Linked DNA regions of Pelodiscus sinensis. The protein of the gene in region 1 interacts with the protein of each later gene in a biochemical or structural test. Links are inferred from orthologs where the notes say so. Each region holds a gene or a part of one and is shown on either strand. Other genes may lie near its edges.

What was found.
Region 2: the proteins of NHERF2 (region 1) and PTH1R interact in a test that uses a peptide from one of them, tested with the Homo sapiens proteins (2 studies listed by BioGRID and IntAct, with this or other methods). The link is inferred for Pelodiscus sinensis from reciprocal best matches to the Homo sapiens genes NHERF2 and PTH1R.
Region 3: the proteins of NHERF2 (region 1) and SGK1 form a complex in vitro, tested with the Homo sapiens proteins (2 studies listed by BioGRID, with this or other methods). The link is inferred for Pelodiscus sinensis from reciprocal best matches to the Homo sapiens genes NHERF2 and SGK1.
Region 4: the proteins of NHERF2 (region 1) and SLC9A3 form a complex in vitro, tested with the Homo sapiens proteins (2 studies listed by BioGRID and IntAct, with this or other methods). The link is inferred for Pelodiscus sinensis from reciprocal best matches to the Homo sapiens genes NHERF2 and SLC9A3.

What each region holds. Positions count from the first base shown.
Region 1 is NC_134726.1:37,832,929-37,840,058, reverse strand, and holds the start of NHERF2 (Na(+)/H(+) exchange regulatory cofactor NHE-RF2), read right to left. Parts: upstream 3,011-7,130; 5' UTR 2,613-3,010; coding exon 2,403-2,612; intron 1-2,402.
Region 2 is NC_134712.1:254,793,656-254,800,945, reverse strand, and holds the start of PTH1R (parathyroid hormone/parathyroid hormone-related peptide receptor), read right to left. Parts: upstream 3,019-7,290; 5' UTR 2,366-3,018; intron 1,180-2,365; 5' UTR 885-1,179; coding exon of another isoform or gene 863-884; coding exon 788-862; intron 1-787.
Region 3 is NC_134713.1:95,699,772-95,707,270, forward strand, and holds the start of SGK1 (serine/threonine-protein kinase Sgk1), read right to left. Parts: upstream 3,010-7,499; 5' UTR 2,379-3,009; coding exon 2,303-2,378; intron 2,158-2,302; coding exon 2,082-2,157; intron 1,613-2,081; coding exon 1,537-1,612; intron 1,110-1,536; coding exon 1,005-1,109; intron 531-1,004; coding exon 447-530; intron 337-446; coding exon 205-336; intron 1-204. UniProt on the Homo sapiens protein: Serine/threonine-protein kinase which is involved in the regulation of a wide variety of ion channels, membrane transporters, cellular enzymes, transcription factors, neuronal excitability, cell growth, proliferation, survival, migration and apoptosis.
Region 4 is NC_134712.1:145,368,334-145,376,216, forward strand, and holds the start of SLC9A3 (sodium/hydrogen exchanger 3), read right to left. Parts: upstream 3,021-7,883; 5' UTR 2,232-3,020; coding exon 2,030-2,231; intron 1-2,029. UniProt on the Homo sapiens protein: Plasma membrane Na(+)/H(+) antiporter. Exchanges intracellular H(+) ions for extracellular Na(+) in 1:1 stoichiometry, playing a key role in salt and fluid absorption and pH homeostasis.

The DNA.
Region 1 (7,130 bases):
GACCCCTAGAATCCTAAGAATGGAAGGGACCTCAAGTGGACATCTAGTCCAGTCCCCTGCACTCAAGGCTGGAGTGTTATCTAGACAGGTTTCTGTCTAACGCTCTTAAAAATCTCCAGTGATGGAGATTCCACGGCCTCCCTGAGCAATTTATTCCAGTGCTTCACCACCCTGACACTCAGGAAGCTTTTAGTGTCCAACCTAAATCTTCCTTGCTGCAATTTAAGCCCACTGCTTCTTGCCCTGTCCTCAGAAGCTACTTTCTGCTGGAACGTGTGCCCTGACAACGCAATGGCTGACTACGTAACAGCAACGTCCTGCCAATGTCATCGCATCCTTTGGTCTTTCCTACCTGGCCAATGCAGACAAGGCCAACCACTGTCATTGTTGAAAGTTATCTGGTGCCGCAGCATGGTAAGACAACATCCCTGCATGGGGAAGGCCTGGAATAGTGCGGGAACCTATTTATAGTGCGGGAACCTGTAGTATCTACCGCTGCTTCCTTGCCAAAGGGAAGCTTTTAAACAAACATTCACAGAGAGGATCACCCTGCTAGCTCTCTTTCACCTTTCGTACGCTCTCGCCACCAACACCACCAGAGGAGCCGGGAATCCTGGCAGCAGGGCAAATGAAGGCTGTTTCGGGCATACGTAAATAGTTCTGCTCGGCTACAGCCAACAAGCTGAAAAAGCACTCCATGTGCGGACACAAGAAGCGACTCAGCAGGCTTAGCGTGCTGGTTCCTGCCCCAACAAGGATCTTATTCCCCATAAACTGCTTGTCTCCCAGCGGATTACCCTGCTGGCCTGGAGGTTCAGGAACCATCACCCAAAAAGAGACGCACACTTTCCATCACGCTGGTTTCACTTGGACACGCGCCTGGAGAATCCAGCAGAGAAGCAGCTCAGGGGAAGCGACTCAGTCGGATTGTGAGTGCACGCAGCTTTGGCGACCAAACTGAACGCGGACAGATCCCCGGAAGGAAAATAGCACACGGTGGCCCAATGGGGAGCGGCTGGCGGGGGGGCTCTACAGAACGTGGGGTTTTATGGATGAACAAAAAGGGCTTCTTGCCAGCCTGGACACAGCAATAGGAAATACACTGTAGAGAGCATCCTGCCCTGGCCAGGCTGGGCTTGATGCGACTTGCTAGGACTTTCCTGACTCTCACCTCTCGGAATATAAAACCAAAGAAGTGGGCACAAGCACAGCAGGGAGCATGTGAAGCCCAGGAATTAGAGGAAACAAGTGAATGACCCAAGCCGAGGGCACCTCTTTCCACTGGCAGGAGACACGGACACAGCAGATGACAAGGTTTTCCATGTCACTCTGGTTTCCCTGCTCTCAACCTCCAGATGAAACCCGCTAGCCAACAACCGGACTGCCCACCCCAGGATGGACTGTCACCTGGCGGGACTTCTTCTAGCTCTAGAGTCAGACTGTAGGGATGTTAAATGCCGGTTAATTTAACAGTCAATTCAACTCATGAATTCTTATCGGTTACTCCGTTATTCTATAGTCCTTGGGGATGGGGCTGGCAGCCAGCACGCTCCAGCCCCACTCCCAAGGAGCCCCCCCGTCACATGCCAGACAGGGGCTTGTCCGTGAGGGGAGCCAGTTTATGAGGCTGGTCCACGAGGGGAGCACCCTGTCCAGAGGGAGGGCTGAGCTCCCAGACCCGGCACGAGCTGGAACTGAGCCGGGCTGCCTGTCCACCTGGCTCCTACTACACTTTAAATGCAGAGCTGCAGCGGGGGTAGGTCCCGGACCTGGCATGAGCCAGGCTGCTGGCCAGCCTGCTAAAAACTGTACTGGTGGGGGTGGAGGGGAGAATGCGGGTAGTCGATAGCATTGACCTAGAAGCTTTTGCTTATTGGTTAATCAGTTAATCGACTGCACTATTACATCCTTATCAGACTGACCTTCCATCCAGACAGCCCCCTTCTCCAGCGCTCAACTGGGCACAGATAGACAGACTAAGGACACCTTCTGTCCCAGCACAGACAGACGGACGACGGTTCCAGGGTGCCACCTCTCCACTAGCATGGGCTGACTGTTCCTGGGCGCCCGCTGCCCCAGTGCCCACAGACAGACAGACATTCCCCGGGCAACTCCCCAGTGCAGACAGACAGCCCCCGGGCCCCCCAGCTCCAACACAGGCAGACAGACAAACCGGCCCCTGGCACCCTACTCCCCAGCGCTCATGGACGGACAGACAGACATTCCCGGGCGCACACACCTCCACCCCAGTACAGACAGACAAACCGTCCCCCGGCGCCTTATGCCCCATCGCCCACGTACAGACAGACAGACGGTCCCCAGCACACCCCCTCCTGCCCCAGTACAGACTGACCGACCCTCCCCGGGCCCCCCCGCCCGGCCCCCCCGGCAGCCCTGCCCACCTGGTGGTGCGTCTCCTTCTCCACGTTGACCCCGTTCACCTCCACCACCCGGTCCCCAGCGCGCAGCGCCGCCGCCTCGGCCGGGGAGCCGGGCTCCACTTTGCGGATGAACTGGCCGCTCTTGCCCTTCTCGCCGTGCAGGTGGAAGCCGTAGCCGCTCTCCCCCTTGAGCATGTGGCACAGCCGGGGCTTCAGCTGGTCCTTGGCCATGGCTGGGGCCCTGCCGGGGCGAGCGCCCCTCGGGGAACCTGGGTGCCCGGCGCGCAGCGGCCGGAGGCGCCGGGCAGCGGGGTCCCGGCTGGATCAACAAGTGGCGGCAGCTGCCGGGCGCGCCCCCTGCCTGCGCTTCTCCCGGGGCGCCTGGAGAGCCGGGCCCCTTACGCGCAGCGCAGCGTAGAGACAGGAGCCGGGCTGCTGCTGCTGCCGCCGCCAAGCGGGGCCATCCTGCGTCCTGTGCGCCCTGCGCTGCGCCAAACTCCCCCCGTGCGCTCTGCGCCGCGGCGCACCCCCTCGCTGCAGCCCCGCCGCTGCCTGCCTGCCTGCTCCGGCCCGTGCCCGCCGCCGCTACTGGGGCTGCAGCGCCTCCTCCGCGCGGCTCTCCGTGACATTGCAGCCGGGGGAAGAGCTTGGAGGCCAGCTGTGGCCATTGCCCCTCCCCCGAATGCAACCCGGAACCTTCCAGAGCTGGCTGCTGCGGGAATGGGTGTGTGTCTCCTGATTATACACTCGCCCCCGAACAACATAACCCAGCCACAGCCCAGCACATGCAGCTGGCATTGGTGCTATTCCCCCTTCCTTCCCCCCCACACACACACGCATTGTGTAGGACATCTAGGAAGGTCTCACCCCAGGGCGTGTAACATGGAGGCAAGATATGGCCAGGGCCCGGCTGGTCACTGCGTCTTTGAAAGCCACTTTGTGGGGGATGGTTCCTTGCAGCCCTTTGCCAGGCATAGATGTGCCATCCAGAACCGGTTAAACCAGTCCAAGCGGGACGCCCAAATGCACGCCCAGGGAGGAAATCGAACATACGGGCAAGCACAGCGCAGTGAGTTCCCAGTGCAAAGAATGGGAGCACAAGTCCTCACACTGGTGGTAAATAAGAAAATAAAATAATGGGTTTGTAGGGTGATTCCCCATGGACGTTAGTGGGGGTGGTTGAATCAGGCCTTAAAAAAATCCTTTTGGCCAGATACTAAGAGGATCTCTTGGCCCCGGCTCATTTATTTGTCTTGTCACTGAGGTAGGACAGCTGACCTTATAGCACGCTGACGTCCTCTAAACATCTATTAATTTGAGGGCAGTTACCGCCCAATCACCTTGGAGGAACATAAGAACGGCCGTACTGGGTCAGACCAAAGGTCCATCTAGCGCAGTAGCCTGTCTGCTGACAGTGGCCAGCACCAGGTGCCCCAGAGAGGGTGGACCAAAGACAATGATCAGCGATTTGTCTTCTGCCATCCCTCTCCAGCCTCTGACAAACAGAGGCCAAGGACACCATTTTATCCCCTGGCTAATAGCCTTTTATGGACCTAACCTCCATGAATTTATCCAGCTTCTCTTTAAACTCTATTATAGTCCTAGCCTTCACCGCCTTCTCTGGCAAGGAGTTCCACAGGTTGACTACATGCTGTGTGAAGAACTTTCTTTTTATTACTTTTAAACCTGCTCCCCATTAACTTCATTTGGTGTCCTCTAGTTCTTCTATTTAGGGAACTAATAAATAACTTTTCTTTATCGGCCCTCTCCACACCACCCAGGAAGAGGCCTGGGATATCACACTGATGGGGTGTAGCAGGGGAAAGGTAGAGCGATGCCTAGAGGGGGGGAAGTTTCTCTCTAGGAATACATTACATTAGTATTCTGGCTCAAGGCTGCCAATGCAGATCCCTTATCTCACTTCAGATCTTGTGGTAACTTTCCAAGGAAATAATGTGGCAACGAATCGCATTCTGCTCAGCCCTGCGGTAGGTGCGTAATGGCCTGAGGTCAGGGGTGGGCAAGACAGCCTCTGCGGGCCAGATCCAGCCAGCCTCCATGGGCCAGATCCAGCCCGCCAAGCTGGTTGATCCGGTCGGCAGCCGCCCTGCCGCTCCCAGGCCAATGGAAACCCGGGGACAGGGGAGTACGTGAAATCTCCTTCCCCCGCCAGACGCACACAGCCCCAGAGGGAACCACTAGCTGGCCAAAACAGTTCCCTCTAGGCACCGTGTGCCCCTGGCAGGGTGGGGGCAGGAGGCGAGAGACTTCCCATGCTCCCATGCACCTAAGCCCTGATTGGCCTGGGGGCGAGGGAGCATGCAAAGTCTCCCTCCACCCACAGCACCTAGTGTGAACGACCAGCTGTTCAGCTGGCAGTTTTCTCTAGGCACCGAGTGGAAAGGGGGGGGATGACTTCCCAGGCCAATCAAGGTCTGTGGGCAGGGGAACCTGGGAAGTCTGGCCCCGCCCCTTCCACCTGAGGCCCCGCCCCTTCCAGGATGACCCACAACCACTTCAGAAATTTGTGAAGTGCCCCCCCCCTTCAAAAATTATTACCCGCCGCTGCCTTTGGCGAGGTTACCTGTTGCCAGCCGAAAGGAAACAAGGGCAGCTGGTTTCAGTTCCCAAGCCCAGGGATCAGCCCGTCATTGGTCTTTGTGGGAGAATTTTAAGCTGTGAAATGCATCAGACCTCTGGCAGTATGCCAGCTTGCCATCAGACCTGGCTGCTCTGTAATTAGCAGCAGCTATGCAAAACAACAGGTCTCTGCCTGCTTGCACAAAGCCATCGGGTGATGTGGAAGGAGGCCAGAGAGAGTCATAAGAACGGCCACCCTGGGTCTGTCCAAAGGTCCATCCAGCCCAGGCTCCTGATTTCCAGCAGTGGCCAAGGCCAGGTGTCCCAGAGGGAATGAACAGAACAGGGAATCATCACGTGATCCCTCCCCTATCGCCTATTCTCAGCTTCTGACAAAGAGACTTGGGACACCATTCCTGCCCATCCTGGCTAATAGCCATTGACGGACCTAACCTCCATGAACGTATCTAGCTCTATTTTGAACCCTCTTGTAGTCTTGGCCTTCACAACATCCTGTGGCAAGGAGTTCCACCGGTTGACTGTGCCTTGTGTGAAGAAATACTTTCTTTTCTTTGTTTTGCTGCCTATTAATTTTATTTGGTGAATCCTAGTTCCTGTGTAACAAGAAGGAGTGAATACACTTCCTTAGTTACTTTCTCCACACCAGTCACAATTTTATAGACCTCAGTCATATCCCCCTTAGATAGCTCTTTTCCAAGCTGAAAAGTCCCAATCTTATTAATCTCTCCTCAGACGGAAGCCGTTCCATACGCCCCAATCATTTTTGTTGCCCTTTTCTGAAGCTTCTCCAATTCCAATATATCTTTCTTTGAGATGAGGCAACCACATCTGTGTGGGGTATTCAAAATGTGGGGGCTCCTCCATTTGCTGTGTCACATGAGGGCTTCCCTGAGCCTCCCTCGGGCTTGATGATGTGTTGTCATCCAACAACCTGGCTAATACCAGAGCCACAGATTTTGAAACACACCTGCCAGTATGTAATCTTAACCCAGGTCGGGACGTCTCCTAGGAGTACACGTGCAGGAACCTGCCCTGTTTCTAGGCCGCTCCCCTTCCTTGTTTCTACATCAGGGATGACCTTGCCCAAAACACGAGGTACCTTCTTGCAGATCTCGCTTTACTGTTGGCTGCTGGTCCAGGCTGGGTGCAGGTAGCACAGGGAGGAAGAATTTCTTGTGAATTGAGGACTTGGGTCAGGCCCCAATTCAGGAAACTACTTGTTCATGTGCCTAACTCGATCCATATCTGCATGGCTCCACTGACTTCATTCGCTTAAGTTAAGCATCTGCCTAAATAACTTGCTAGATTAGGGCTGACCATTCCTTCCTCCTTTGCATTTAGGAATGGCCCAAGTGCTCACCTGTTCCCTGGCTGCCCCTTTTCTTCTGCCCTGGTAAACTCTCACCTGCAGGGGAGGATTCTACAGCCCACGAGGATTGTTGGGAACACAGGTTTGGTACAGCCTGCGCTGTGATGGGCGGGAAAGGTTCCCATCTTTCTCGAGGAGCTGGAAAAAAGCCTGAAAACATTCCTGCATCCATGACCATCTTAACACCGCATGGAAAGAATTACCTCCCCTCGCAAGCAGCTCTTGCAAAGTGCTTAGCGGTAATACAGGTTGAACCTCTCTAGTCCGGCACCCGGAGGACCTGACCGGTGCCAAACCAGAGAATTTGCTGGACTATGGGAGGTCAGTATTGTCTAGCAGCATTACCTACACTTCCCCTGCTTACTAGGGATGTGAAAGTGTAATCACATGCATCTGGCTCCTAGGAAGCTGCCTCCCCCCTCCGCCCACTGCATCTGTATCAGAGGCAGCAGCATGGCAGGACAGGTGGGAGCTAGTATGCCTGGAGAGCTGGCTTAAAAGTTAGCTCCCCACACACACCGGCTCCCGGGAAGCTGACCGCCACCCTGCATGTAACTGCTGGAATTTTCTGTGGTATCACGATGACTTATACACATTTTGACATCCCTTCTGCTTGCTGGGCTCTTAGAAGACATTTTGGGCTCAATTAGAACTAAAGACCAGCACAGGACACTGAGAGCCAGGATTGGTGGCAGGAAACAAACTTTATGGGACTGTGGGAAACTTGGCCACATCCACAGTAAGTGGACATCCGGCTCACTAAAACCATGCCGGACCAC
Region 2 (7,290 bases), on another chromosome or scaffold:
CGAGCGCGTGGTGCTATATAGTGTCGGCCTCTAAGGTGCCCCAGGGCTGCGTGTGGTTTTGAAAGTTAAGGACTATCCCGGCAACTCCTCGGAGACTTGACGACATTTAGCCTCGTCCATAAGACTAAGCGGAGCGAGTCACCTTTGGTTGTACCACCTTGAGTCACAGTTTTGTTCCCCTCGGGAAGGCAGTTGGCTAAATAGAGATGAACTCTTCCTACAATAGCAGTCGTGCCGTACAAAATCACACTGGTTCACACACAGATGGCACACAGCCTTCGATGGCATAGGGCTAATACTACTCTAATTCCCCTGAGTGTAAACCATATGCCATCCATGCGCTGCTGGACTGCAAAGCAGATCCAGTACGCTACTGTACACAGACACTCATGGAGCGGAAAGCAGTTGTTTGCTGAAATTCAGCTTTCCCATGATTAAATTAAGATTCCCATTATCATCCGGAACAGCGGGCCCCACGCTTTGTCTCCATTCATAGGAGAGAGGGGCTGATCACAGAATTGTGTCCGAGAGCCGGCCGAAGTCATTTGGAAGTGGGTAAGAAGAATTCTCCCGAACGCTCAGTCATTTTCATTGCATCTCGCCTAGCAGCTTTCCGGCTCCCCCCGCCAGCTCTAGCTCCGCCAGCAAAAATCAAACATGCGTCTAAAAAAGCCAGCGCTTTGCCCGCTTCTAAATCCTGGTACAGTCAATTACTCATCCAGGAAACAGGCACAGCTAAAGGAAACAATTGCTCAAGAATGTGCAGGAGAAAAATTTAGCAACTTACCAGAGCATAGACAGAACTCAAGACGGAGCAGCAGAGGATCAAGCCCAGGTTGTGATAAACCAGATATGATCCCATAGCCAAGAGAGGTATCGCCCATCCACAATCTCCAGGGGAAGTAGACTGAGGGCGAAGGATCTTCCAGGGGTCCAGTTGTAGATGAGGTTTTCTTTCTTTTTTTTTTTCCTTCCCAGGTTTTTTTATTTGCTTGTTTGTTTCCACCGTTTTAGCCAGAGAGGCACATGACAAGAAGCCCCAGTGCTTCGCTTCCTCATGGCTGGAAATCCAGGCAGTTTCAGCAATGTGGGGAAAGCGTCCATGTGAAGGGAGCCCCAAACACCCGTCTCAGGCAGCGTAGCAGTTCCTGGTGCTGTTTGTTTTGTGTGTGCATCTGTCTCGGAGCAGAGAAATCACATCCATATGTCAAAACTGCTATTCTGCTTCCTTTTTATGAGGCAGTGGGAAGTTCAAATAATTTCTTTGTCAAACGCAAACACACACACACACTCACACATAGAGGTGGGGAGGGGAGGGGGAAGTTTTTAACCACTGCTTTATTTTTAGAGCTAGTAATTTTATCTTTTAGGCTGGGGGGAGGGTTTTTTAAACTTTTTTTAGGCAAGTAAACAAATCAGAAAGTCAGGGCTTTTTTTTTAAGCTAGAAATATTTTCACTGGGCAAGTACATTTATGCAAACAGGAGAGGTGCTGGGTATTTTGGCTTGTGTATTCCAGTGCAGCTCTGCTCCCCAAGAGGTTTATTCTGACAACCTTCCCTGGATGCCGTGTGTTTTAGTTACAAATACTATTTTTTAAATGTATTTTTTGCCTCTCTCTCTCTCTCTCTCTCTCTCTCAAAGGCTCTGCAGTTTCAAAAAGCCAATTGAGTAGAGGCTGGAAGCCTGAGCTAAAGAGCTGGGGTTTTTTTTCTTAAATAGTTTATTTTAGATGCTGCAGTAAAAACTCTTTTCACTGACTAGCTGACATTTTCCAAAATCGACGGGTTTCCATTTGTACAAACACACACACACATACACACACACAAGCTGCTTGTCCTGTCCTCCGGAATCAAATCACCAAAGCTCAGTCCAGTAAAAGTTGCTGGGGGATTTTTTTTTCTCTCTCTCCCTCTGACTGCTGCAGTTCCCTTTTAGACTCACCAAATGAACATGCGGAGTGTGGGTTTACTTCCCCACCGACCAGAGGAGATGAAAAGAGAAGCAAGCGGGGCATTTTTCATTTGGGGGAAAATCAACCAACCTCCAGACTCCTTTTCCTTCTATCTGAAGAAGTGGGTTGTTCCCAAGAAAGCTCATGCTACTAGCTATATTCTTGGTGAGTCTCTAAGTTGATCCAGCACTATTCCTTATGGGGTTTTCTTTGTTTATTTTTTTTTTAAGTTACAAACCCCTGAGATTTTTTTCGTCTATTGTTGACATCAAAACACATGGACCCTGCCGCTTCAAAACACACACAGACACACACACACACAATCCAAAGATGAGAACTTCCTTTTATTCTGTACTGAAAACCCCACCCCTCCATGCACCCCCAACCCCAACACCCACCCCCTGAAATTTACCAGCTTGTTAGTTTCAAGGCAGGAACGTTACTCCGCGCAGTCAGTCAGTTTCATTCATAAAGCGGCAAGAAAAGGCTCCGTCTCTTCTCTTAGAAAAAGCCTTGAGTTTTTTGGGGGGAGTGAAGACAGAGCACAACCCTCCAGTCCTAGTTTTTTTTTTTTTTTTTTTTTTTTTTTTTTTGCGGGGTGCGTGAAAGAATAAGGAACGAACGCCCCGGGGGTTATTTCTAGCTGGATGGGCGCATTTATTTTCTTGCAACTCGGAGGATCAAATGGTGTATTTTATTTTTTGTTTGTTTGTTTGGCTTTTGCAGCAGGTTTCTGTTAGCGGCTGTGATGGTTGCGAGGGGGGAGCCGCGAGAAAATAGCTAGCTAGCTCTTGGCGAGCCGGAGGGGGGGAGCGCATCGCATTTTCGCGGTGCGCTTCTTTTTATTTTTGGCGAGGGGTGGAAAAAAAGTCTCTACGGTTGCTTTGCCCTATTTTTTTTTTTTTTTTACAGCTCCCCTTGGCTGTGAATGAGAGCCTTCAGCGGCTGGTATGAAAAAGGGTCTCTTTCCCTGCAAAGGCAGAGCGGGGCTTCCTGTGAGCGAGCCGGAGGAATAATCCTGCTCTTGATCCGCTCCCTCGCTGCCGGCCGGAGTGGATCTCCGGGAATGTCTGCGGTTTTGGAGCACAGAGGCAGGTAGAAAAACCCCGCATGGGCAGAACCTCATTGGCTGGGAATCGGCACCATGTGACCCTCAGCCTGGGAAGCGCAGGGTTGGCTGTCCACACCCCCCCACGCCCCCCACCCCACCCCCTCGCAGCCTGGCCAGGAGCGCGCCGTGCGTCCTGCGGTGCCTTCGGGTGCGCATGGGAACCCCGAGGCTCCTGCTTAGGCAGAGCTTCCAGGGCTGAAATCCTGGGGGGGGGGGGGTAAATCTGGCTGGAGAATCAGATCATCTAGGAGAATCCCCCCCCCCCAGATCGCTGGTGTTTTGCAAAACTCTGGCACGGGGCAGGCGCGCAAAGGGGGTGGACTCGGAGGAGAGGGGCGGGGTTGGCTGGGAAAGCCGGGGCGGGGAGGTAGTTTGAAGCGGATTGGGTGTTGATGTTTTCCCAGTTGTGAGCTTTGGGCGAGGCCTGGAGAGGGCTCCCAGAGCTGGCCCAGAAGCCATCTCCTAAGCGGGGAGGAGAGAAAGACCCAACTCCCTGGGCGCTTGGAAAGCCAGCGGCAAAAGGCGCTTCACACGGGTCCTCAGGGCCGACTTATCCAGTAGGCACAGTGCCTAGGGCCCAGGATACTTTTAGGGGCCCACGAAAATGTTTGAATTTCTTTGCAAATCAGAAGGGGAAAAAAAAAAGAACTTTTAGGGTCGAAGAAAACGTTTTCATTTTTTTTCTCCCATCAGAAAAAAATGAAACTTTTAGGGCCCACGAAAATCTATTAAATTTTACCTAAAACAGAAAAAAAGGTTGAAGTATTTAAAGTTGTATCAAAAATAATTTTTAATATTGATATTATGGAGGAAGGGGCCCACGAAGGAAAAAGTGCCTAGGACCCACGAAGTCACAATGCGGCCCTGGGTCCTCCCTCTACCCCCCACTGGCTTTTGCCCCAGCTCGTGCGCAAAGTGCCCCTCCCGCCTCCCCAGGCTGTGCTATCCCTCCATTCCTGGAATGAATCATACAATCATAGAACACTAGAACTGGAAGGGATCTGGAGAGGTCAGTGAGTCCAGTCCCCTGCCCTCCCGGCAGGACCAAGCACCACCTAGACCAGTGTTCCCCAATTTTATTTGGCCACAGAACCAGAATTTTGCTGCACCCTATCTATGGAGCTGAAAAATGTTTAAGGACAAGAAATCACGCCACTGTGCTGAAGTAAAGTATTCGCCAGCGCACTGCCTACGCGCTCCCGTACGAGCAAGCGGCTTGGCAGCCGAAGCTTCGACTTTGTCCGACGCGGCGCTCGTGTATTCGTAATTCAGTCACCCACGTGACCCACGCTCCCGGAGAGTGAGTACGGGGATTTACGGGGGTATCTCACAGGCTGATTGACTGCGAGCACGGTGCTGAGTCATGACATCATCCCCGCTCTCGGGCTAAGTGGGCGTTACGCAGGGACACTGATCGTGGCAAACACACATGGAAATTGTTTTCAATACAATTCATAAATGCTTAAATATTAAATGTGGTTTAATCGTAAAATGTTCTTGTAATGGAATTTTCTCGCAGAACCCTTATTTCCAGTTTCCCTGGGGTTCCATTTGGGCGGAATACCCTTTGATCTAGTTCAGTGTTTCTCAATCTTTTTTTATAAAGTACCCCTTTTTCAAAAACAAAAATTATAAGTACCCCCAGTACCTACAGTTTTCAGACACACCATTTTTTTTTCTACCATTGCAGCACATTTGTTTAAACAACTTAATCGTAGCCAGGCAGGCGATGAAATTTTGGGGTGTAAAAAGTACACAAAGAATAAAACGCTGTAAAACTTAAAAATTCAGCTTTCTCCAACTTTCAGTTGTGTTGATGTACCCCCTGGACTTCTCTCGAGTACCCCAAAGGGTACTTGTACCACTGGTTGAGAAACACTGGCCTGTATCATCCCTGAAAAATATCTATCCAATCTACTCTTAAATATCTCTAGTGATGGAGAATCCACAACCCCCCTAGGCAATTTATTCCAGTGCTTCACCAGGACAGGAAATTTTTCCTAATGTCCAACCTAAACCTCCCTTGCTGCAATTTAAGCCCATTGCTTCTTGTCCTGCCCTCAGAGGTCCAGCAGAGCAATTCTTTTCCCTCCTCCTTGTGACACTGTTTTAGATTCTTGAAAAGCACGATCATATCCCTTCTCAGTCTTCTCTTTTCCAAACGAAACAAGCCCAGTTCCTTCAGCCTTCCCTCTTAGCTCATGCTTTTTAGGACCTTGAATCATTTTTGTTGCTCTTCTCTGGACCTGCTCCAATTTCTCCGCCTCTGTCTTGAAATGTGGCGAGATCAGAAATAGGGCAGGTTTTCAACAGCGCGGGGGAACAGCCATGGAGCCCTGACTCTCAGAAGCAAGGGATGGATTGCTCAATAATTTGTCCTCGTTCTGTTTGCTCTCTCTGAGGCATCTGGCTCTGTTGGAAGACGGACTTGGGGACTAGATGGGCTATTTGGCCTGACCCGGCATGGCCCTTCCTATGGAATAAAAGCCCCAGGGAAGCAATGGATTCCCCATCTCTCCGTGTTCTTGAATCGAATGAGGTGCTTTTCTAGAAGTTGTGCTTTAGCTTGACACAAGCTACTGGGCTCAGTGTATCAGCCAGGAGCTGAAATTCTGTGCTCAGGCCTCACAAGGGAGTGATGGGGAGGGGGGAAGCGGGCAACTGCAGGGCCAGCGATTCAAAAGGGGCCTGGAGCTTCCAGCCGTCGGAGTCCTGGGCCCTTTAAATCGCCACCGGAGTGCCGTGCGGTGTGCTCCGGGCAGCACTCAGGGCTGCCAGGGGAGGCCCCGCCCCTTCCCCCCAAGACTCCGCCCCTTCCAGGGGCAACTGAAAAAATGACTTCTGGTGTCCTGCTCACGGCCCTCCTGCGGATGCATCCCGGAATCATGTTGACTTTTTTTTACAACAGTGTCACACTGTTGACTCTTATTTAGCTTGTGGTCCACTCTGACCCCTAGATCCCTTTCAGCAGTGCTCCTTCCTAGGCAGTCGCTTACATAAGAACATAAGAACGGCCAGACTGGGTCAGACCAAAGGTCCATCTAGCCCAGTGTCCTGTCTGCTGACAGTGGCCAATACCAGGTGCCCCAGAGGGAGTGAACAGAAACAGGGAATCATCAAGTGATCCGTCTCCTGTCCTCCATTTCCAGACAAACAGAGGCTGGGGACACCATTCCTACCCATCCTGGCTAATAGCCATTGATGGACCTAACCTCCATGAATCTATCTAGCTCTTTTTTGAACTCTGTTAAAGTCCTAGTCTTCAGAACATCCTCTGGCAAGGAGTTCCACAGGTTGACTTTGCGCTGCATGAAGAAAAACTTCCTTTTGTCTGTTCTCCTAGCCTTGCAACAGCTCTGTGCTTGGGACTTTTTACTCTCGGGTGTGTTTGTTAGGCAGGGAAACCCCACATTGTGCATGTTTGTTGTGGCTGGATTATTAAAGCCAGATTTTGCCCCTCCCTTCCAGTAGCATAGCACAGGATCTATGTCACAGGTGCTTACCCCTTGGCACTGAACGTCCCTGGCCAGGGGGCCACCGGACTTGTTATACTGATCACTTGCTTAGTGCCCCTGGTGGTAGACCTGGTTCGGGGGAGTGAAAACAAATAAAGATCCTCCTGCTCTGACACTTTTGGGACGGGCTCTAGGCCTGTAAGGTGGGGATCCTCTAAAGCCATGGTGTCTAACATGCTAGCCACTAGCCACGTGTGGCTCTTAGGCCGGTGGATTGTGGCTAGTTGGCTATAGAAGCCTCCAGTGTAGTGGCTTCAAAACTGGTTGGACACCAACGTTCTAAGGTATTTAGGCACCGAAGTCTCACAACAGGGAATCATCACAATGGGACGAAGGCGCTTGTCTCCCTTGAAGGATCTGGCCTAAGATCTCTGGGGCAAGGAGTGTGTGTGTGTGTGTGTGTGTGTGTGTGTGTGTGTGTGTTGCACCAATCACAGCGGGACCCTGATCCCCAGTCAAATCCAAAATACACTCATGGGGTTTTAGACACATCCTAAAGGAGAGCCTGGAATCATGCAGGACTCTTAGCCCCTTTTTACCCATGAGGATCAGTGCCACAAAAGACTGTTGGCTCCTAATCCCCTTGGAAATCCACAGGAGCCTAAATACCTTGGAAGATCGGGGCCTATGTGACTTCTCCAGGTTACAGAGGAAGAGTCAGGCAGAGTAGGGATGTCTGTGGTCTGCAGCCCTAGCTTGCTGGTTCTGTGC
Region 3 (7,499 bases), on another chromosome or scaffold:
TTTAATTAGACTTGACATATATAGCTAAGAAGAACAATAGCAGGAAATGGCCTAATGATCCTCTAGCATTTGAAACCTGGCAGGCTGAAGATGCTAACTCTAATAACTTTTCCCCTTGGAACTTTGTTTTTAATTTAAAAAGAAGACAGATCTACAAAACCACTGTGCACATATTAGGAATTATTTCATTCGCTTGCTGCTTACCTCTCCACCATTGATGTAGTCAAGGACAAAGTACAATTTATCTGCAGTCTGGAAAGAAAAGTGGAGCCCAACCAGGAAAGGGTGTTTCACGTTTTTCAGCAGGACATTGCGCTCTGACATTATGTGTTTCTCCTAAAAATAGAAAAAAAACCAATATTTAGTTACAAAAAGCTTGCTAACTTGTAGTAATAAACTAAACTTGGTAATTTGCATTGCTATATTGTGAAAAAGGAGATACTTACCTCCTTCTTTTTCAGGATTGCTTTCTTCTGCAGTACTTTAACAGCATAGAATTCTTCTTCTGCTTTATGCCTTGCAAGGAGAACCTGAAAGCAGTTGAAAATCCCATTACTTAAATGTACTGGAATACAGAGCAGCATATAAACACAGCTGGGAGAAAGGGTTTTGGATATCGTCTATGCTACCGCTGAGCACTATTACCACTGTATATTACCAGCTGCATTTCGAAGCATTTTGATAGCAATGCCTAGCATTATCAACAAAATGCCAGCAGAGAGGCTTTTTAAAAAGGCTGATTCTCCTGGTTTCCAGGACCTACCCTACTACCTCTCCTGCATAAAAGATCAATCCCAGTGAGTTTTCCTTGCAACTCCTTCTCCTTAACTAAAACACCTTGCCCCACCTATCCACTGCAGGGCAAGCAACTTCCTCCTCAAAGCTGTGAAGTATCAGTGAATCATTGGAGAACAGAGATTTTCCCACTAAAGCAAGCTGGCTATATAACCTCAGCCCTTAAACAAGTGCATCACCAAATTAAGGTGGAAAGAAGTAGGACTTACCTTCCCAAAACTTCCTTTTCCAATAACCTTTAAGAAATGAAAGTCTGATGGCTTGGCGTGTGGGTTGGATGACGGGCCAAGATTAATTTGCTGTGAAGGGCTGGGCTATAATTAAAAACAAACAAATGACGCTTAAAAGATGTTTATTTGAAATGGACCACAAAGGGTTATTATACGAATCTATTCATGGATTTAGAGATCATTTTACTTGGTTATATTAAACCAAATCTATGTCCCCTTTCACCAAAATTAGCATGAGATTCTTGTACAACCTCAAATTAAAATTTTAAGTAAGATTAGGGATTTCCCTACTTAAAAGACATGTAATATAGCCTTCTTTAAATCATTGACTTTTTCCATACAAAATAGGTATGAATTTTATTCTAAACTGGTAACTCCTTTTTGAAGTTACATCACTGCCCTGTGAGCTGAACTAAAAGGGACATTCTTGTCAAGTTGCTAATTTACAGAATAGCTATTTTAAAACATGTTTCTATTAGTGGAAATGATTCACATAATGAAGACTACTTACTGGAGGGGAAGGATTAGCATTCATAAGTTCAGGCTCTTCAGGCTGGGAGATCTTCAAAATAGACTGAACTTCAGGGCTGGAAAAGATTAGAGAGTACATTATTAGAACAGTTGCCCTGTACAACAGGCAGTAACATGTCACCTCTAGAGGGCATGCAAGCAGTCTACTTATTAAGTTTCAGTTTGGCAGGCAACTAGGGACAGTCTATTACATTTCAGAACTAAAATGAAACAGGAAAAAAAAAAGAACTAACTGTGCAGTTTCTTGTTCTGTAGTTAAACACTTGCTTGTTCTGTAGTTAAATGTCATGGATAGGATGGGTATCAAACTAACCTGTGCTCTCTGGTTTTATTTATGCTAACTAAACTCAGTAAAAACTTAAATATATGCTAACAAACTCAGTAAAGTGTGTTATATAACTAATAATATTGTGAAAAAATTAATTCAGTTCTGACAATCATTAATAACCTAATACCTAAATATTTCAATCATAAAAATGTAAGGCTCGATTTTCAGATCGATACACATAAAATTGCGCTACTTACTGCTTGCACGGGTAGGAGTTGGTGGCTATTTTTTGAATGAAGTCATTTAGCCCCATTCGTCTCTGTTTCATGAAAGCTGCAAATAAAAAGAAAAGCGTTACGACAGGACATCCAAAACGTGGGTTGTTGGTTTTTTTAAGTGAATCGGACATGAGTCCATCCAAAATATCCGTAGCCCCCCAAAGAGCCATGGTCACTCTGCCTTTCTTCTTCAAACTCACCGATGAGTATGGCAACAACTCCCCTCATCTTGGAATACGTTAATGTGGGTCCAGATGCTTCGGCTTTGACAGTCATAGCTGAGCTACAGTGTGGGTCAGGGAGCAATAATCCAGGCTGATGAATGAGTTAGTCCAGGGGAACGCAAGCGGCTCTGGCTGCAGCCGGCTATCAGTGCGATTATGCTAAACACCAGCTCGCTGGAGCGGTTTATATAGAGACCTCGCCTGAGGGAGGGCGGGGAGGAGAGGAGAGGGAGGGAGGGACCAACGAGGAACAACTATGCGGAAGAGTAAGTCCGGCTAGCCAGGCGCCCAGAACTGCTTTGCCTCCTCCCGCTGGCGCCCGCTCCTTGGCGCGGCCCCGCCCTGCCTGGCTCTGACGTTCGCAAGAGCCGGGGAAGTAGCCTGCCGGCAGGAAGGAGAGCGCTCTGCAGCAGGGCTTAGGACGCGGCGGCGGCATGGCTAGGCGGTGCGTTGCAATACGAGGAACCGCTGAGCTCAGCCGCAGAGGGCCGGGGCCCACTTCCAACCCACTCCGCACAGGCATAAAGAGCATGCACCGCGCTTGGCTAGACTCGACAGCTGCCCTGTCCCGTTTCTCCTGCATTTTGCTTCCCTTCCCATGAGGCTTTGACTTGTTGCAAGCCTGCAAGTCAGTTTCGGGAGGGATACCCTTGCAAAACGGTTTTGCTCCCCCTTTTCTGTGACACCCCCCCCCCCCCCAAGCATGCACGCTAGCTAGCTCTCTGGCAGTGAGAGAGGAGCTCTCGAGGGAGAAAATGTGACGCCCCCTGCCTGGCCCTTTCTCCCCCCTCTCTTCAAAAAATTCAGAAGGGAACCGTTGGTGGGGTCAGCTGATGCCTGTGGCTCACGTGTATTGCACTGAGCCCAATGCATTTCCACAGGGGGAGGCAAAGAAATGTTCATTAACTAAGGATCATCCCTGTTAGCCGCTTGCAAATGTTGGCACCTCATCGCTCCAAGCAAACAACTTCAAAGGGGGACCTTTGCCTCGGTGGCTGGAGATCAGTCAGCTGGTGTCATTCTGTGGCGCTCGGGTCACAATCCGGTTAAGGGGGAGAGAGAGCCACATGGATGCACCGCTCAGGTCACTAACCCCCCCGTCCCAACCCAAGTTACACCACCACATTGAAAGGAAAAAGGATCGGAGCTTCTTACCCAGCCTAAGCAGAAACTCGCTTTCCCCGGCGCAGCCAACTCCTGCAGCCTGCCCTGGTTTTCCCTGGAGAAGGGGATTGTGTAAGGGCTTGCTTTGCTCTTGTGCGGAGGGGAATGTCTTTCTAAAATGACCCCCAGAGCCTTGGTTCTCCAGCGTCAGCAGCAGCTTCAGCTGCCTCCTGGGGCGAAAGGCGATAAGAAACTCCGACGTTTCCTTGAAGGAGCCGCAATGACTCAGGAGAACAAGTTTTCCTGCCCAGCTTTCAGTAGAACAAATGCCCTGGTGTGCATTGCCCGGATCCCGGCCGGGACGTTACAGAAAACGCTTTTTGAATGCTTTGGGCCGACGAGCCAAAAAAGCAGCACCTAGGACTTGCCAGAGGAGGAAGGAGAGGGAGGGGGGTCAGGGGGTGTAGAGCTCATGGAAGTACCCATCTAGTTTGTGTTTGCAAAAGAACAACCCCCCAGCTGAGATTTCAACCACCTTTGCGAACAGCCTGGGCGTCATTACTTGTTGCCTTGCAGTGGCCCTGGGCAGCACGTGGGTTTGTTTATGAATAAAGGCTCTGCCGGGGGACGGCTGGGGTGAGGGTGGCACGAAGGTTAGTGGGTGCCCCTGGGAGGGCAACAGTCTACAAGGGGGGGAGCATGTGTTGGAACGAGGGCTGGGTTTCAGCGTTAGCTGCGGCGGCCACATTCCTATTCACTTCACTCACTGCAACTTCGAAGAAGTCTCCTAACTTGTGATGTGTCCCTACCCGCTATACCGCGTAGAGTTGAGCTGCAACGTGGCCATGAATTTTGCTGCCCTCCTTTGTGCATCTTGCCTCACTCCACATCCCCCTTGGCCGGCATGCCCCTACAGCTCATGTCTCTAACTTGTACTCCCCAAAAGAGAGCACCCCAGCACAGGGGGAGAGAGATGCAGTTCACTGCTGCTCTCAGACTGCAATTCGGTTTAAAGAGAGTGTGCACAGGTAATGGTAATGGCCTGGGGTGGGAAATTGCGCCATGCATACGCGGAAAGTAGTTCAAAGACAACACACTGCTGGTAAGTTTAAGGCAGAGACTGAAGGGGCTGCTGCCGGCCGGCCGGCTCCACTGCCTCACGTGGCTGAGATCCGGGAACCTTACACAGAGTCTCCTAGCGTGCAAAGGAGCGAGAGGAAACCGGCACGCCAAGGCGCAGTTAGTTTGGGGCAGCTGTTCCGATCCTCTGCTTTCTTCCACTTGTTGCTTTGTCTGTACGGGGTGCAAAATCGGCTTGTCTGATCCGAGCAAGGCACCGACGCCAATTCCAATCGTCTGCTAAACGCGCCGGGGGAGCTGGCCAGCTCGCCCCGCTCCCTGCGTGCTCCCGCGCAAGAACCGCTTAGCACCCAACTCGCGTGCCGGAGCCGAGGCTACGCGCCCCCACCAAGCTCTGCAGGCTGCCACCGGCCCTGGGCTCTGTGCTGCAGAAATGTCCCCCTCCCGCCACATGCCATTGCTGCATTACGCAGCGCCCTCTTCTCAGCAGCCCTTTCCCTGTGCTCGCTCCCCACCCCTACAGCGCCCACACAAGCTGCGATCCCCTCGTTTCCTGTGACACGCAGTGCTCGGCCAGGGTCTTGTCAACCCGGCGCTGGCTGCAGCGCAGCTCGCTTGCGCCTTCCCCCTGTTCCCGCTTGGCTGCAGCAGCCGCTCGCTTGCAACACCCCGCTGTCACCATGGCTCTGTGAAAGCCTGTTGCCCTGCAGACTCTCCACACCGCTCGGGAGGCGCACCACCCTTCTATGACCCTGCCACAATGTTAATTGCTAAATGGGGTGCCCCCTCTCTGTCCCTCTGGGGGCACCCCCGTACCGTATAGGTGCTGGAACTAGGAGTGTGTGTGTGTGTTGCAACATCTCCTGGCTTGGTTTGCATTATATACAGAGTCTCCAGTTGGGTTGAAAAGCTCTCAGGAACCCCATTATCAAAATTGTTCCAACTCCCTGCCCTTCTCCCCGGCAGGTACCAAACGCCCCTGCTCCAGACACCTCCCCCCGCCAGTCCTGCTAAAGAACAACAAAGCTGGAACTGCAGCCTCGGTTCAGTGACTGTTGCCCCCCTTTCCCCACCGGTTTGCAGGTCTCCTTCCTCTTTTGGAGAAAAGGTAATTAAAGTCCCTATCAAATGTCAAGTGCTCAGCCTCCTCCGCTCTCCAATCAGGAGGGTCATTCCGCATCGTTACCACTAAGGGTTTCTCAGAGCCTCAAACAAGCCAGAGCGAGACTGTAACAATTGCAAAATAAACCAACCTTTTAATGAAGGCTTCTCTTCTTTGCCTCTCATCTCTCTCGCTCCCTCTTAAAAATCCTACACAGTAGTTTTGAAACGGGGCTCTGACGCCCTGGCTGGGTTATGTATCGCTATAAACCCGAATAACACCCTCTCCGTGGCCGGCCAGAGCTGGAGGGAAGTGGTGAGTAAAGAAAGTAGCGGCTGAGTCGGCTTGCTGCCCGCTTTATGCACCCCATATACAAGGTGATTTACATACAGATCAGTGGAGTTCAACATTGGTCACGCCAGGCACACTCTGCCCCGTTGCAACATAGCCCTGGGAGTTACTGTAATCACCACTTTATTACACACCAGTGCCTGCGTCTGCAACTGAAATGCGGGTCTGCTGGAATTGAGCTGCTGCACAGAGCGCATGGAGAGCCCTCCCGCAGCACACACAGGCCGCAGGCCCGAGGGGCTGCTCTGCCCTCCGCACTTGGCCTGGTTGGCTCCCTGTCAAAGCGTAAAGACGAGGAGTCGCCGCCGTGGTAGCTGTCGGGACGGAAAAGGAACAGGGGCCAGGCTGCTTTGGGTGGGTGGTTTTCCCTCTCCCCTCCCCCGCCCTTCACTTCCATCCTCTCTCTGAGACAGATGGGCTCCTGCGCTTACGGTGTAAAAGGACAGAGGGGTTCTGGAGACGGGTGTGCCCTGCCCACCGGATAGCGACCGGGTGGAACAGGCGCCCCCTGTCCAATCCTGGCATCGAACTACTTCCGAACAGGAAACAGACAGAGATATATCGGGCTCCCCTTCTCTGCCGCCCGGTTGCAGCACACTGAGGTGTCTTTTCCGCTCCCCCTGCGCACACAATAGGCACATGTCTGTGCGCAGAGCCGCAGGCGTCTGGCTGGGTGTTCTTCCGCACAATTGCATCCGCTGCGCCTTTGGCACGTGTCCCGTAGGTGGCGATCGTGCTTTCTTCCGTGGAAGAAGAACAACCAGCACCAAGGGGCGGGGGGAAGGGGGTTGCTTTTTAAGAACTGCTGCCATCCTTCCCCTGTGGTCATCCATACGTGGCAGCCTTTCAAACTGGGAAGCTGTGCCCCTGAAGGCCGCAGGAAAAGATCACATTTTTGCTTTGTTACTCCTTATTTAGTGGATCGTTTTCACTGAGGAGTCATTGAAGGCTTAGAGAGCTGTCATGCACTGAACTTTCCATTGTCTCTTCAATTTTGGCTTTATCCCAAGGGAAAATAACCCAGAGAGAAGTAAAATGAACAGATTGCCTCTCCCGACTGCTCAGATGGCATAGTGATAGGTGCAATAATACATGACAGACAGGTCCCTATATTTAGTTTCCCACACAATTAATCCTTTCCTTGTTTTTAAAAGATCTTTCTAATCTAATTCCTACACCTATTTTAAAACATTTCCATAATAAAAGTCTTGACTTTTATGTAGGAATATGCACAAAAACCTATGGGAGAGGAATTATTGTTTTTTTTTATATAATTTGCACATCTTTCCCAAACCCAAGCAATCAAAAATCCGGACCCTGGGCCTTACAAAATCTCAAGATTGGTTTAGGAATCAAGAGATTTTGTTTCTTATAATAACTGTACCTTTCCTTTCCATTCTGGTTTTTGAGCCTTAGGGTATGTCTGCACTGCAAAGAAAAATTCATGGCTGGCCCATGCCAGCTGACATGGGCTCCCAGGGCCCAGGCTGTAGAGCTGTTTTATTGCTATGTAAATTTCCAGGCTTGGGCTGCATC
Region 4 (7,883 bases), on another chromosome or scaffold:
TAGGTGCTAACTACTTACTCTAAAATAATCTGTTCCAACTTGTATTCAGGTGTCACACTCTGAGTGCCTTTCCCAGACCTCAAGAAGAGCTCATCAGCAACAATTGGGCCAATGAAAGATATTACCTCACTCACCCTGTCTCTGAAAACAAACAAACAAAAACTAATCCTTTTTATTCGACTCCCTTCTGAGCCAGAACAGACACCTTGAGTCTGTCTGCACCAATCAGCAGTGGTCACTTCCGCATTTCACTCATCTGATTGGCGGCTGTTGGTAGCAGCCAAACCTGCACTAGATATGCTACTAGTGCTTTATAGTACACAGTTGTTGTTCAGAGCCTCTTCAGAGACCACCTCAAGTGAAACAGTTACAAATTCGGGCAGAGAGGCAAGGGAAACATCTGGGATCACTGGACACCAGCAATGAGCCTGAATCAGTGTAGCAGTGAAGAGAGCTCCAAAAATTTTTTTAAAAAGAGAGCCCGATGCAGATCCTGAATTGTTTGCCTCTGCCTGAAAATGAGAGTGTAACAAAAGTGCTTTTACCACTATGCTAAAGGAGAATCCTCACTAGCTATTAGAGGAATAGAGCTTAGATTTAGAAGATAGAGTTGTACAGCACTGATTCCATTCAGTAGAGAGCAGTGGTACATATACACAGAAACCAGATCATAACTTCAACAACCCTAAAATATGTTACTAGTTGAGTACACCCTCCTCACCAAAAAAGAGGCTCAAACTGGCAATGAGTGCATTTCTATAATTTCTGAATTTATCTGCAGCCAGTGTAGTTCCTCTTTTGCTTACACCCCTTTCTCCCATCACTGATTTTGTTTCTCCAGAGTCAAAAAGTACTTAAGACTCCTGAATAACAGTCACTGTGCAGTTTTATGTCTCTTCAAATTGACACAGCTTGTCAATAAAAGTCAACTAGATCAAAACTTTTACATTTTATAGATAATGTAGGTATCTTGTTCTTTGGGCAATTACACCATCCAGACACATTTTCTTGATATGTTTCATAACTTTATTCTCACAGAGCTCTTCAGTTTACATACACACTGTCAGGTAGATGAAGCTCCCAACTTAGGTCTGTATTAAAAAGTGACACTGAAACTGGCATTCATATCCTGCATTCATTTAAAAAAAAATTAATGGAAACAGTTTTGTTTGGATTTGAATGCAGTTTGCACCTTCACACAAGGAAATTTATCTGTAAAATGCAATGGGCCTTCAACTAGCCAATGGCCCTTACATTCAGTGTGGTTTGGGACATGAATCATCACTGTAAGATATTTAAGATTACAGCACAACTTGGAGATCTATTTTGAGGAATTTTGGACAAACAGAACTAAGGTACTAAATAAGTTTCAGCTAACCAGTCATTCACCAGCAAACATACTTAAAATCACTTAGGCATTAGTGATAATAATATGGACAAGAGGTTACACTTTTAGAAAAGTCACATGGATCAGAAAACAATAGCTTGTAATTAACCAAAACATACAAACTGACCCATATTCCACATAGGTTAAAGAGCTGCACTTTTGCATTCTCCTCCAGGTAATACAACACTGAAGTCCAAGAGCAGAAGTTACTAGCACTCCAAATACCCAGGTTTGCAATATTTATGTAAAGTTCGTTATATAACATCGTTGCCAGTTATCGGAGGTGGAAGATATACCCTAAGGTAGGGTTGTCATTTTATAGATAACCAAATTCGATTTCCTATTTCCTACTTGGCTTAGTTATCCCGGGACCAATGGAAGAAGACTGCGTTCATGAACCAACCATCAGATACAAACGCTATGGTCCTAGCTGCTGAGAATGACCTAGTAATCCCCTGGTCTAGCCCAAACCCCACTGCTGAACGCTGTGGATGACCCTGTTCAGAAAGCAAGGTGGCAAAGCAAATAGACACACAGCACCCCCTGTGTATTGAAAAGGGACCAATGCAGGCGATAACGAGCCTCTGTTACTTAAATTGGGGAGCTCAGAGAGCGCAGATGTCCGCAGAGCTCCGGACTCACCGATTTTGGCCAGACTGGCCACCAATATCCAGAGAGCAATGATATAAGGCTCCTGCACATGATGCCATTTGAAAGAGACGATCTGAAAGGAGTGGGGTCCGCTGCCAGCTGTATGCTCTCCCGAGCTCTTCTCCTGGGCCAGGACTGTGGGAAGAGCCAGAAGCCCCTCGGCCAGGGGCACCTGTCCCATCTCCCAGCTCATCTGCACCGCGCACCCTCGGCTGGCCGGGCCAGGCGCTCTGTGATCCCCCCGCCCCGGGCCGGCTGCCGCCTCCCCTCTGCAAGCCGGCAGGGCTCTGGACACGCGCTGCGCACGGGCAGATGCTGCGGCTCCGTCCCGCTGCCCGCCGGCAGCTGCCTTTATGGGGCTGTTCCCGGGCCGGCAGAGGCGGGGCTACGCTGCTCTCTCCCGCGCCGCGCCCGCGGAGGCTGCAGGCGGCTGAGCCCGACAGGAGGAAGCGGCGCGGGCCGGGGTCCCCGTCGCGCCGGGACTCTGCGCCCAGCCACTCCCCGGGCAGCGCCGAGCACAAGCGGGCACGGCTGGGGCTGGGCAGCGGGGGGAGCAGGGGATGCAAGAGGCCGGGCAGCCCCCGCTCTGGGGCATCACCGAGCCCTCCCAAGAGCACGGGGCGGATCGCTCCCCACGGGCCAATCTCTGTCCTCGCAGCCTCCTCCCCCCTGCACACAGCCTGCCGGGGAGGGGGCTTGGCTTCGCTTTCAGGGGATCCCCCCCCCCCGTCTAGGGGCAGAACCGGCTGGGCCCCAGAGGCGCGCTGGGGCGCAGCGCACGCAGGCCGGGCTGCCGGTAGATCCCGCCCGGGCTTGGGTTGTTTTCACCTCCCCTTGCCTGTTCTTTTTTATGATTACATCGTGAAGCCCTTTGGGGGTCACCCCTCAGATAACCTTTGCTGGATCCCCTCCCCAGCGCGCCCGGCAGGGCTCGCACTGTGCGTACTGGGCTGGGCAGTCGGAGCCAGGCGAGCCAGCGCGCCGCGCTCCCAGCGATTGCAACCAAAGCAGCATGTGCCAAGCAACTTCACCTCGGCGCCCCTCCCCGCGCTCCCTCCCAGCAGCGCCGCCCTGCCTTCCGCAGGCACCGGGAAGCGACTGAAGTATTTGGGGCGCCTGCTCGGGAACAAGGGGGGGGGGGGGTGGGAAAACACGGCCAGTCCCTTCCCGTGGCGAATGAGAGTGCTGCAGGTCTGTGCTCTGCGCTCACAACTGTCACACCGCAGCGGGAAATGCCCATGAGATAAGAAGGACAATGTAGCACTTTAAAGACTAACAAGATGGTTTATTAGATGATGAGCTTTCGTGGGCCAGACCCACTTCCTCAGATCAAATAGTGGAAGAAAGTAGTCACAACCATATATACCAAAGGATACAATTAAAAAAAATGAACAAATATGAAAAGGACAAATCACATTGCAGAACAGAAGGGGGATGCGGGGGGGTGGGAAGGGGGAGGAAGGAAGGTAAGTGTCTGTGAATTGCTGATATTAAAGGTAGGGAGAGTGGGATGTTTGTGAGTTAATGGTATTACAGGTGATAATTGGGGAAACTGTCTTGGTAATGGGTGAGAAAGTTCAAAGTCTTGTTAAGTCCTTGGTGATAAGTGTCGAATTTTAACATGAATGACAGTTCAGAGGATTCCCTTTCAAGTGCAGATGTAAAAGGTCTTTGTAGCAGAATGCAGGTGGCTAAGTCATTTAGAGAGTGTCCTTTCTGGTTAAAGTGGCAAGAAACTGTTTTCTCTTTGTGATCTTGTCTGATATCTGTTTTGTGGGCATTAATCCTTTGGCGAAGTGTCTGAGATGTTTGTCCAATGTACATAGCAGACGGACACTTTCGGCACATGATAGCATAGATTATATTTCTGGATGCGCAGGAATATGTGTTCTTGATCTTATAACTTACTTGGTTAGGTCCAATAATGGTATCAGCAGAATGAATATGTGGACAAAGCTGGCAACGGGTTTTGTTGCAAGGGAAGGTACCAGGGTTGGTATTAGTGTGGTATGTCCTGTGGTGGTTGGTAAGAATCATCTTGAGGTTAGGTGGTTGTCTATATGAGACTATGGGTCTGTCTCCCAGAGCCTCTTTGAGTATGGTATCCTGTTCCAATATAGGCTGTAGTTTATTGATAATGTGTTGGACAGGTTTTAGTTGGGGGTTGTAGGTGATGACAAGTGGTGTTCTATTGTTGGTTTTCTTGGGTCTGTCTTGAAGTAGATGGTTTCTAGGTATTCGTCTGGCTCTTTCAATTTGCTTTTTTATTTCTCTGGGTGGGTAGTTGAGATTTATAAATGCTTGGTAGAGATCCTGAAGCTTCTGGTCTCTGTCAGTGGGGTTAGAGCAGATGCGGTTGTATCGAAGGGCTTGGCTATAGACGATGGATCGTGTGGTGTGTTCTGGATGGGAGCTGGATGCATGTAGGTAACTGTATGAGTCGGTGGGTTTTCTGTAGAGAGTGGTGTCTAATTTTCCATTGTTGATTTGTACGGTGGTGTCCAGGAAGTGGATCTCTCGTGTAGAATGGTCCAGGCTGAGGTTGATGGTGGGGTGTAGGTTGTTGAAATCTCTGTGGAATATCTCCAGTGTTTCTTGGCCATGTGTCCAGATCATAAAGATGTCATCGATGTACCGTAGGTAGAGGAGGGGTGAAAGGGGACGGGAGTTGAGGAAACGTTGTTCTAGGTCAGCCATAAAGATGTTAGCATACTGTGGGGCCATGCGTGTACCCATGGCTGTGCCGCTGATCTGGAGGTATAAGTTGTTCTCAAACTGGAAATAATTGTGGGTGAGAACAAAGTTACATAGGTCTGCTATCAGGTTGGCAGTAGTGTCCTCTGGGATAGTGTTTCTAATTGCTTGTAATCCGTCTTCATGTGGGATGTTGGTATATAGAGCTTCTACATCCATGGTGGCAAGGATGGTATTATTGGGGAGGTTATCGATGTTTTGTAGTTTCCTTAGGAAGTCAGTAGTGTCTCGGAGATAGCTGGGGGTATTGGTTACGAAGGGTTTGAGAAGAGTGTCTACATAGCTGGATAGACCAGTAGTGAGCGTGCCAATACCAGAGATGATGGGACGTCCGGGGTGCCCAGGTTTATGGATCTTGGGAAGTAGATAGAACAATCCTGGTCGGGGGTCAGAAGGTGATTCTGTGAGGATTTGTTCCCGAGTAGCTGTGGGGAGGCTTTTAAGGAGACAGTGTAGTTTCTTTTGGTAGTCCAAGGTGGGGTCAGAGGGGAGAGGTTTGTAAAATGTGGTGTTCGAGAGTTGTCTGGTTGCCTCCTGGTAATAGTCGGCCTTATTCATAATGACCACAGCACCCCCTTTGTCAGCTGGTTTGATTACAATGTCCAGGTTGTTTTTGAGACTCTGGATGGCATGGTGTTCAGCGCGGCTAAGATTGTGTGTCGCTTGTTGTCGTTTGCGAATAATGTCAGTCTGTGCGTTGTTGCGGAAGCTGTGTATATAGAAATCCAGATTGTAATTCCGACCGTCAGGGGGAGTCCATATAGAATTATTTTTCCTTTGGTGTTGGTAGGGGGGATCTGGTAGGTCAGATTGATGTTCAGTGGTGGTTTGGAAATATTCTCGGAGACGGAGGCGGCGAAAAAAAGCCTCAAGGTCACCACAAAATTGTATCCAGTTTGTGGGGGATGTGGGGCAGAAAGAGAGACCCCGGGACAAGACAGACTCTTCTGCTGGATTGAGTTTGTAGCTGGAGAGGTTAACAATATTATCCGGTGGGTTGAGGCAGTTGCTGTTGTAGCCAGTGGTATGGAGCAGGTTAGAAAATTTATTGTCTTTTCTTTGTTGTAGGGAATAGAAGTGTGTATAGTAGATTTCTTGTCTGGTGGAACAAAAGTCTTGCAAGGTGTCAGTCGGTGTGGATGTTTGTCTTGAGATGAGACGATCTAAGTTAGAAATGTCATTCTTGATGGTTTTCTGTTTCTTGTATAAAATACTTATCAGGTGGTTTCTTAATTTCTTGGATAGTGTGAGGCAGAGTCTTTCACTGTAGTCAGTGAAGTATGTTGATCTTAGTGGATTGTTCACTTTCAGTCCTTTGGGTACGATGTCCATTTTCTTGCACTTGGATAGAAAGATGATGTCTGTCTGTATCTGTGCGAGTTTCTTCATATGGTTGATGGATTTCCATTCCAAACGGCTAAATGTAGTGCCTTGCATGTAGAATAGTGATAGAAATGTAGCCGTGTTAGTCTGGGGTAGTTGAAGCAAAATGCAGGACAATGTAGCACTTTAAAGACTAACAAGATGGTTTATTAGATGATGAGCTTTCGTGGGCCAGACCCACTTCCTCAGATCAAATAGTGGAAGAAAGTAGTCACAACCATATATACCAAAGGATACAATTAAAAAAAATGAACAAATATGAAAAGGACAAATCACATTGCAGAACAGAAGGGGGATGCGGGGGGGTGGGAAGGGGGAGGAAGGAAGGTAAGTGTCTGTGAATTGCTGATATTAAAGGTAGGGAGAGTGGGATGTTTGTGAGTTAATGGTATTACAGGTGATAATTGGGGAAACTGTCTTGGTAATGGGTGAGAAAGTTCAAAGTCTTGTTAAGTCCTTGGTGATAAGTGTCGAATTTTAACATGAATGACAGTTCAGAGGATTCCCTTTCAAGTGCAGATGTAAGAGGTCTTTGTAGCAGAATGCAGGTGGCTAAGTCATTTAGAGAGTGTCCTTTCTGGTTAAAGTGGCAAGAAACTGTTTTCTCTTTGTGATCTTGTCTGATATCTGTTTTGTGGGCATTAATCCTTTGGCGAAGTGTCTGAGATGTTTGTCCAATGTACATAGCAGACGGACACTTTCGGCACATGATAGCATAGATTATATTTCTGGATGCGCAGGAATATGTGTTCTTGATCTTATAACTTACTTGGTTAGGTCCAATAATGGTATCAGCAGAATGAATATGTGGACAAAGCTGGCAACGGGTTTTGTTGCAAGGGAAGGTACCAGGGTTGGTATTAGTGTGGTATGTCCTGTGGTGGTTGGTAAGAATCATCTTGAGGTTAGGTGGTTGTCTATATGAGACTATGGGTCTGTCTCCCAGAGCCTCTTTGAGTATGGTATCCTGTTCCAATATAGGCTGTAGTTTATTGATAATGTGTTGGACAGGTTTTAGTTGGGGGTTGTAGGTGATGACAAGTGGTGTTCTATTGTTGGTTTTCTTGGGTCTGTCTTGAAGTAGATGGTTTCTAGGTATTCGTCTGGCTCTTTCAATTTGCTTTTTTATTTCTCTGGGTGGGTAGTTGAGATTTATAAATGCTTGGTAGAGATCCTGAAGCTTCTGGTCTCTGTCAGTGGGGTTAGAGCAGATGCGGTTGTATCGAAGGGCTTGGCTATAGACGATGGATCGTGTGGTGTGTTCTGGATGGGAGCTGGATGCATGTAGGTAACTGTATGAGTCGGTGGGTTTTCTGTAGAGAGTGGTGTCTAATTTTCCATTGTTGATTTGTACGGTGGTGTCCAGGAAGTGGATCTCTCGTGTAGAATGGTCCAGGCTGAGGTTGATGGTGGGGTGTAGGTTGTTGAAATCTCTGTGGAATATCTCCAGTGTTTCTTGGCCATGTGTCCAGATCATAAAGATGTCATCGATGTACCGTAGGTAGAGGAGGGGTGAAAGGGGACGGGAGTTGAGGAAACGTTGTTCTAGGTCAGCCATAAAGATGTTAGCATACTGTGGGGCCATGCGTGTACCCATGGCTGTGCCGCTGATCTGGAGGTATAAGTTGTTCTCAAACTGGAAATAATTGTGGGTGAGAACAAAGTTACATAGGTCTGCTATCAGGTTGGCAGTAGTGTCCTCTGGGAT